2 linked regions of the Arabidopsis thaliana genome follow. The protein of the gene in region 1 purifies or fractionates together with the protein of each later gene. This does not show direct contact. Each region holds a gene or a part of one and is shown on either strand. Other genes may lie near its edges.

The links. Proteins that work in one complex are often made in the same cells at the same time.
Region 2: the proteins of AT3G18600 (region 1) and AT3G57000 fractionate together in Arabidopsis thaliana (co-fractionation; one large-scale study listed by BioGRID). This does not show direct contact.

The regions. Positions count from the first base shown.
Region 1 is NC_003074.8:6,401,731-6,405,483, reverse strand, and holds the start of AT3G18600 (P-loop containing nucleoside triphosphate hydrolases superfamily protein), read left to right. Parts: upstream 1-2,091; 5' UTR 2,092-2,254; intron 2,255-2,449; 5' UTR 2,450-2,476; coding exon 2,477-2,818; intron 2,819-2,913; coding exon 2,914-3,099; intron 3,100-3,338; coding exon 3,339-3,524; intron 3,525-3,753. Other genes in the region: NUC-L2 (nucleolin like 2), read left to right, coding at 1-35, 122-239, 330-412, 502-583, 685-1,081, 1,183-1,214.
Region 2 is NC_003074.8:21,090,052-21,093,804, reverse strand, and holds the start of AT3G57000 (nucleolar essential protein-like protein), read right to left. Parts: upstream 1,623-3,753; 5' UTR 1,438-1,622; intron 1,212-1,437; 5' UTR 1,196-1,211; coding exon 875-1,195; intron 792-874; coding exon 699-791; intron 616-698; coding exon 471-615; intron 375-470; coding exon 261-374; intron 165-260; coding exon 79-164; intron 1-78. Other genes in the region: EDA7 (embryo sac development arrest 7), read left to right, coding at 1,829-1,958, 2,060-2,158, 2,249-2,340, 2,436-2,536, 2,602-2,692, 2,787-2,845, 2,964-3,084, 3,199-3,267 and 3 more.

The sequences.
Region 1 (3,753 bases):
GGAAATCTTTCCTATCAAATTGCGAGATCTGACATGTAAGTATAATGACATTTTTTCATAACATTTTTCTGGTTCTTCCTATAAAATGTTGGTGGTATGATATTTATAACCCAAAATACAGAGAGAATTTCTTCAAAGAAGCTGGTGAAGTTGTCGATGTTAGACTTTCTTCATTTGATGATGGGAGTTTTAAGGGATATGGGCATATTGAATTTGCTTCTCCAGAAGAAGCTCAGAAGGTAAGTTCATATTGGGTTTTTTTGGTATCATGGAAGTGGTATTGAAATTACGATGATGATTGGATTCATTTTTGGATGTTTTGAATGTAGGCATTGGAAATGAACGGTAAATTGTTACTAGGCCGCGATGTTCGTCTTGATCTTGCTAACGAGAGGGGTACTCCACGAAACAGGTACGTTTCTTACTTTGCCATATGAGCATGATGGGATTATGTATGTTTTTGTTTATAGGCTAATATCTGGTTTGTTGGACTATATGCAGCAATCCTGGTCGCAAAGGAGAAGGAAGCCAAAGTCGAACGATTTACGTTAGAGGATTCAGTTCTTCTCTTGGCGAAGATGAAGTAAAATTCTTGTCCTAGACTTTTCTTAAACCAATATTAACATGTTACAAAAGCTATTTGTGTAAAACTCTGATGCAAACCACTTTTGTGATCATGATCAGATCAAGAAAGAGTTGAGAAGTCATTTTAGCAAGTGTGGAGAGGTGACAAGGGTTCATGTTCCAACAGATCGTGAGACTGGTGCTTCCAGGGGCTTTGCTTACATAGATTTGACGAGTGGATTCGATGAGGCGTTGCAACTGAGCGGAAGTGAAATTGGAGGAGGGAACATACATGTGGAAGAGTCTAGACCAAGAGATAGTGATGAGGGCCGTTCCTCAAACAGAGCACCTGCTAGAGGAGCACCTCGTGGCCGTCACTCAGATAGAGCACCTCGTGGAGGACGTTTCTCGGATAGAGCACCACGTGGACGTCACTCAGATAGAGGAGCACCTCGTGGCCGTTTCAGTACGCGTGGAAGAGGACCCAGCAAACCAAGTGTAATGGAATCATCCAAAGGTTTGTTTCTTCTTCTTCTCCTCTCCTCTTCCCCTTTTTTGTTGTTGTGCATTGTAGAATTAGTGTTGTTTTAAAACTTGTGTGTTTGTATGGTCTTGCAGGGACGAAGACGGTCTTTAATGATGAAGAGTAGAAGAAAGCTGTTTTTGGTTCTATCTTATAGTAGTAGAGCGTTTTTGGCCTAGTTTCTTTTGTTTTCTGTTGAGAAAAGCATTAAGCTTTATACTCTTCTTAAGATTCTTTTTGTTGGTTTTTCTTAAAACTTATTAAGAGCACTTTACTTTGCTGCTCAAAATTTTGGAATAAATCCTTTTGACTTCATTAGTGGTTCATTGGCATTGCTATCAGCCCTTCTCAGAATAAAGCTTAGACAATTTAAAATCTCTAATTATCATTCTCTGTTGCCCATGCCAAAAGTTTTTGAGTAACATTTTCTAGACAGATCACGTGTTATGAATCTGGCTAAGACAATTCTCAGTTTCTAAAAAAAAATATTTTTTAGAGTTTTCACACGTTAAGAATTTTATTAATGTTTAATTATAAATATACTATTTTGCATTAAACAATTTCCATAATTCTAACCCAATAGTAATTCAATAAATATAAAATTTTCAATCAATATTTCTTGAAAATAACAATATCTTGTTATTATTTATTGAAAAAAATACATTGAAAACCTAAAAATTATATCTTTATAAAACAATTTTTTTTCTTTCTAGAAAATACACTAAGAAAAAGCTGAGGCTTCACAACCGAATTGTTAACCATCTTGATTTTGGGAGTAGTTTGTGAATTGTAAGCCAAAAGAAGAATTGACTAATGTATTTTTAAAATAAAAATAATAGACGGATAAAACTGAAATTATGTGCATTTTAGTTAATCACATACTCATTTTTTTTTTAACACAAGTACATACTTATTTATATAAAAAAAATTGCCGATATTATACGAATTACTGAAATTAGGTGTATAATGAAATAAATGTTAAAAAATAAAAAAATAAATAAAAGGTTACGAATTACACAACTTCAAAGGCTCGTTAAACCCTAAACCTTGTCTCCGCGCCGCGTTATCACTCTTACGTTTCTCTCTCTCTCTCAACTTCTTCCACAGCAAATTTCTTCGATTCTCTGAGCTCTCTCCCATCCTTTTCAAGTGGCTTCGTTTCTAAAAGTAAGTTTTTTTAATCTATGGGTTCTCTTCAAGTGGTTGTTCCTTTTCGAATCTCTGTACCCTAGATGAAATCGAGTACAGCTTTAATTACTCTGTTTTTCTTTGGGATTGCTCTGTTTCCCTTCTCTTAGAGGTGTATAATTACTCTCAAATTTGTTGTTTTTTTCATTCATAAATTCATTAATATTGCTGCAGAATTGATTGGTTGAAGAAAGTGGAAACATGGTTGAATCGGACAAGTCATCCGTTGAAGAGCTGAAGAAGAGGGTTAGGAAGAGAAGCCGTGGGAAGAAGAATGAGCAGCAAAAGGCTGAAGAAAAAACCCACACTGTAGAGGAAAACGCTGATGAAACGCAGAAGAAGAGTGAAAAGAAGGTTAAGAAAGTGAGAGGCAAAATCGAGGAAGAGGAAGAAAAGGTGGAAGCAATGGAAGATGGTGAAGATGAGAAGAATATTGTGATTGTCGGGAAAGGGATAATGACTAATGTGACTTTTGATTCCCTCGACTTATCTGAGCAAACTTCTATAGCTATCAAGGAGATGGGCTTTCAGTACATGACGCAAGTACGTTAATTTTAACCTTCTTCTCACTACATGGTCTTGTGACTTGTTGTAGAGTATGTTTCTAAGTCTCTTAATCATTTTTTGCTATTATTCAGATTCAAGCTGGATCAATTCAGCCCCTTTTGGAGGGGAAGGATGTTCTTGGTGCTGCCAGAACTGGTTCTGGTAAAACTCTTGCTTTTCTCATTCCGGCTGTTGAGTTGCTGTTTAAAGAGCGTTTCTCTCCTCGCAACGGGACTGGTGTGATTGTTATTTGCCCCACAAGGGAACTTGCTATCCAGGTAATTTTCGTTTTTATTAACTTAAGGCATTTTCAACTTGGTAGCAACAACCATGCTGTCATTTCGAGTAGATATGTCCTGTAATTGTTGTAATGCGCTAGGTAGATCAGATCTGTAAGGTTCTCGTTTTTCTTCTAGCTGAATCATTGATATTGCTTTGTGTTTGTAAAGTATGAGCATCGTTGTATGTTATTGCGGCCTCCCATTCTGGTTTTCACTTTACTATTTTGATATTTTAGACTAAAAATGTGGCGGAGGAGTTACTCAAGCATCATTCACAGACAGTCAGCATGGTTATTGGTGGCAATAACAGAAGGTCGGAAGCACAACGCATTGCCAGTGGTTCAAACTTGGTGATAGCAACTCCTGGTCGTCTTCTTGACCATCTTCAGAATACAAAGGCTTTCATTTATAAACACTTGAAGGTACTGTCCTTTCCATTGTTACATTTGGCGTGTTGTCTAGTCTTCTTTGTGTGATGTAAATGCAAAAAGCTTTACTGTTGAGCCACATGGCCATAATTTCCAGTAAACAAACAATATTATGTAAAGGAGCCCATAGATAAATATTTGAACTGTTGACAACAGCTTATGCTATATTATTTCTGTTGCATCAATGTTAGACTTACAAATGGAATACTGCCGATGTGATCCA
Region 2 (3,753 bases), about 15 Mb from region 1:
AAAGCCTATTACTACGTAAATTAAATGGACTTTGTGAAGAAGCTAGAGACTAGAGAGAAACATTTGGAGAGCACTAACCACAAAAACTGTGTCTCTATCATCATCACATACAGTAGCTAGGTGTTTCTGCATATTGACGAGTTTCTCAGAGCTATGCGAGAAGCCTGATATAAGAAAGAGACAATCCCTCTTTTTAGCTCACATAATCTGGATAAACAACAAAATGTAGGAGGAAACTAAAGTTTTTTTTTTGTTTTTACCTATTCTGTGGGAGTTAACCGGTAGATGATGTTCTTCGATAGGGTTCTTGACACACCGTAGAAGCTTCTCACGGCTGTTAACTGCAGTAATGCTCAGCTTTTGTAGCAGTTGCACTGCAAGACCAACAAATAGGATAAGAGACAGTAAAAACTGAGGAGGTTAAAGTAACAAAATATCAGAAAGGATGAGAGGAAAGTTGGACAACTAACACATGATTCCGGCAAATCGTTTGAAAGTTCTTGGTATACGAACATGTGGCTTAACTTCAAAAAGGACACCTTTTTCTGTTCTAACATAAACAGCTTTCAACCTCCCAGCTTTATTAACCGGACTATCCAAAATCATAAGAAGCGCCTGAAGAGGGAGATCCACTAAAGATGAGTCACAATTTGTTATAAGCTACCTAGATATGACATAACAGTTTTTAAGACCCTGACCTGATGAGTAATGTCTGGTCGGTAATCAGCCGGATTTCTGTTATTCTTTTTCAAGAAATTAGCATGATCATCCGAGTTCAGTAGCTGGTAAGTCTGCACACAATCAGTAATCACATATATTAGTACCATAAACAAACTCCGAGGCTTACTGTAATGCAAACATTCCTGCAGATTACCTTTCCAACTTTGGCAACTTCAAGAGAGGCCTTCTCAAGCACGAATACAATGCCAGACTTTTCCTTGTTAGGAGCATTAAGGACAATAGGTATCCCTCCCACAATATCCTCTGCTGCTGCAGTTGCTTCCACAGTTACTTCCTCCTCGTCATTATCTTCCTCTGCTCTTGAAGTGCTTTCTTTTTTAGCTTTCTTCGAACTTTCTCTTGCCTTTTGTTTTTGCTCAAACTTTGGTTGCTCCTCTACTTCATCTTCTTCCTTATCATACCTCTCTTCTCTCTCCTTTCTCTTGTTCACTTTAATCCCATACGGCCTCACCATCTTCCTTCAAAAATTTCTACACACAAATTTAAGTCAATCACAACACCACAGAGCTAAAGAATCAGATGCTAAAGAAATATACTACAGTGTCGATGAATTCATACAAAAACTAATCAAATTTCTTTAAGGTTATCGCTACTACAGAGAATCAACTCAATCAATCACAGTTCAGTAGAGCTTAAATTCGAAATTAAATCGAACCCTTTTATGAAAGACAGCTAAAAGAGAAAATAATCGCTTACCGGAACTTTTTGAGCTTGCGAAGAAATTCAAGTGAGCAGGCGACTGAATCCTGATAAACCCTAATTCGAAGTTAAAGGTAGGCGTTTTTTTATTTTTTGTTTTTTGTATTGTTTCACACAGATTATATAATCGTTTAAGGGCTTATTGTAGTAAAATAGGCCCATTAAGTTTTAGGGTTTTTAAAAGGCCCAGAAAAAGAAAAAGAGACCAAGAAACCTAGAATTGTGACCATCGACGTCGACTTTTGTTCTGCCGGAGAGCACGACCGCCTTATGTATTACAAGTGGTGTTTCTTTTCATTTTTATTTTTGGCTTCAATTTTTGCGTTTTCTCTGCAACTCGCCGTCAAGGGTAGAAGAATTAGGGGTTCCTGTTCTTAACTGCTTGAAGATGACGTCTTATGGAGATAGACTGAAGTCGACCTCCATTAATGGAGTTAAGTTATACAATGTTTCTTCTGCTCCCAATGTTCCTACTTGGCTTAATCCTAAGAAGCAACGAGCTCTCCGCAAAAACCCTCGTAAGTTTCACCTCTTGTTTCTGTCTCAGCTCTGAATCGTTAACCCCTTCATAAACCCTGTCTCTTAAAGGCTCGTCCTTTTTTTCTGTCTTCGATGTAAGATTATATGCAAAGAGTGGAGCTGATTCAGGAGTTGAAGTTTGAGACTGCCACTACTAGAATCAAAGCGACTCCAGACGGAGAGTATCTGATTGCTTCAGGTGCGTTTTCTTTCTTTGTAACTTCGATGCTATTGACAAGAAATAATGTTCTCTTGTGACTTTTCACTGATTTCGTTTTTGTTGAATTAGGCATATATCCACCACAGGTAAAAGTTTATGAGCTAAATCAGCTTGCTTTGAAGTTTGAGAGGCATTTGGACTCGGAAATAGTTGATTTCGAGGTACCTTTTATTGCTCCATGAGATGTGTCTTAACACCATTGATAGTAACTATCTTGTTTCTGGTTTTTTAGTATTGTGTTTTGTTGGCTCTACAGATATTGGATGATGACTTCTCAAAGCTTGCCTTCTTATGTGCTGATCGTTCTATTAATTTACACGCCAAATACGGGAAACACCACACTTTACGAATTCCAAGGTACTTTAGCTTTGTTGGTCTATGAGATATATCTTTCGTGGTCTAAAGCATTCACATATTTGCAGGATGGGGAGAGATATGACATATGATTCCTGGTCTTGTGATCTTCTTTGCGCTGCTTCCTCACCTGATCTATATAGAATCAATTTGGAGCAGGTACTTTCCAGTGAATTTATAATAGTTTAGTGTTGTGACCTATCTCAGTCTTTGTTAGAGAATGATTTGTGTTTTTTGCCTTCTTTCTGTTTAGGGAAGATTTCTTTCTCCTCTCAGCACTCAATCCCCAGCGCTTAATGTCGTTTCTCGAAGGTCTGTATACCGAACTGTCTTTTCTTTCTATTATGTTTCTTGATTTCATCTAGGAGAAAATTCGATTCTGGTACTCTAGATTATTATTGCTTACATTTGAGCACTATTTTCTTTCCAGCAACCTCCATGGATTAGTTGCTTGTGGTGGTGAGGATGGTGCTGTGGAATTTTTTGATATGAGAATGAAATCATCTGCTGCTAGAATTAACGCGGTCACACATGGTGGTGATGCTGCTGCGGTAATTTTTTCTAACTTGTGTTCCAAATAAACAGACTTTCTTAGCTTAGACGTCATGTGATTGGTGAAAATTGCATTGATTTCTGATGATCTTGTGCTTTAAATTGGCTAATAGGAGGTTACTGCTATAGAGTTTGATGACAGTGAAGGTCTTCAAGTAGCTGTCGGGAGTAGCGCGGGAAAGGTTTGATGCTATATTCATTTTTTTATCTGAAAGGTTTAAAACATTGGTAGGTCAATTTGATTATATAGATATGTTGTGTTGATTGTGCTGTTCGGTATCTGCAGGTATTCATATACGACTTGCGTACTTCAACTCCCATAAGAGTGAAGGATCACATGTAAGTCTTACTGTGTTTGTATTAACTCAAAATTCTTTGTATATGCTATATCGTTAGGTTATTTCCTCAGTGTTCATTGATTTTCTGCAAAACTTGCAGGTACGAGAGCCCAATTTTGAATATTAAGTGGCAACGGACTCTTAATACTCAACAACCTAAGTTGATTACTACCGACAAACACATTGTTAGAATATGGGATCCAAACACGGTAAGCATCAGATAAGAACAGGTTTAACCTCATAATTTTTTTGAAAAAACAAGAAATATGTCGAGATTTTTGATTCACCATATTCTGTTTTGTTATTTTCAATTTGTGTTTATCAGGGAGA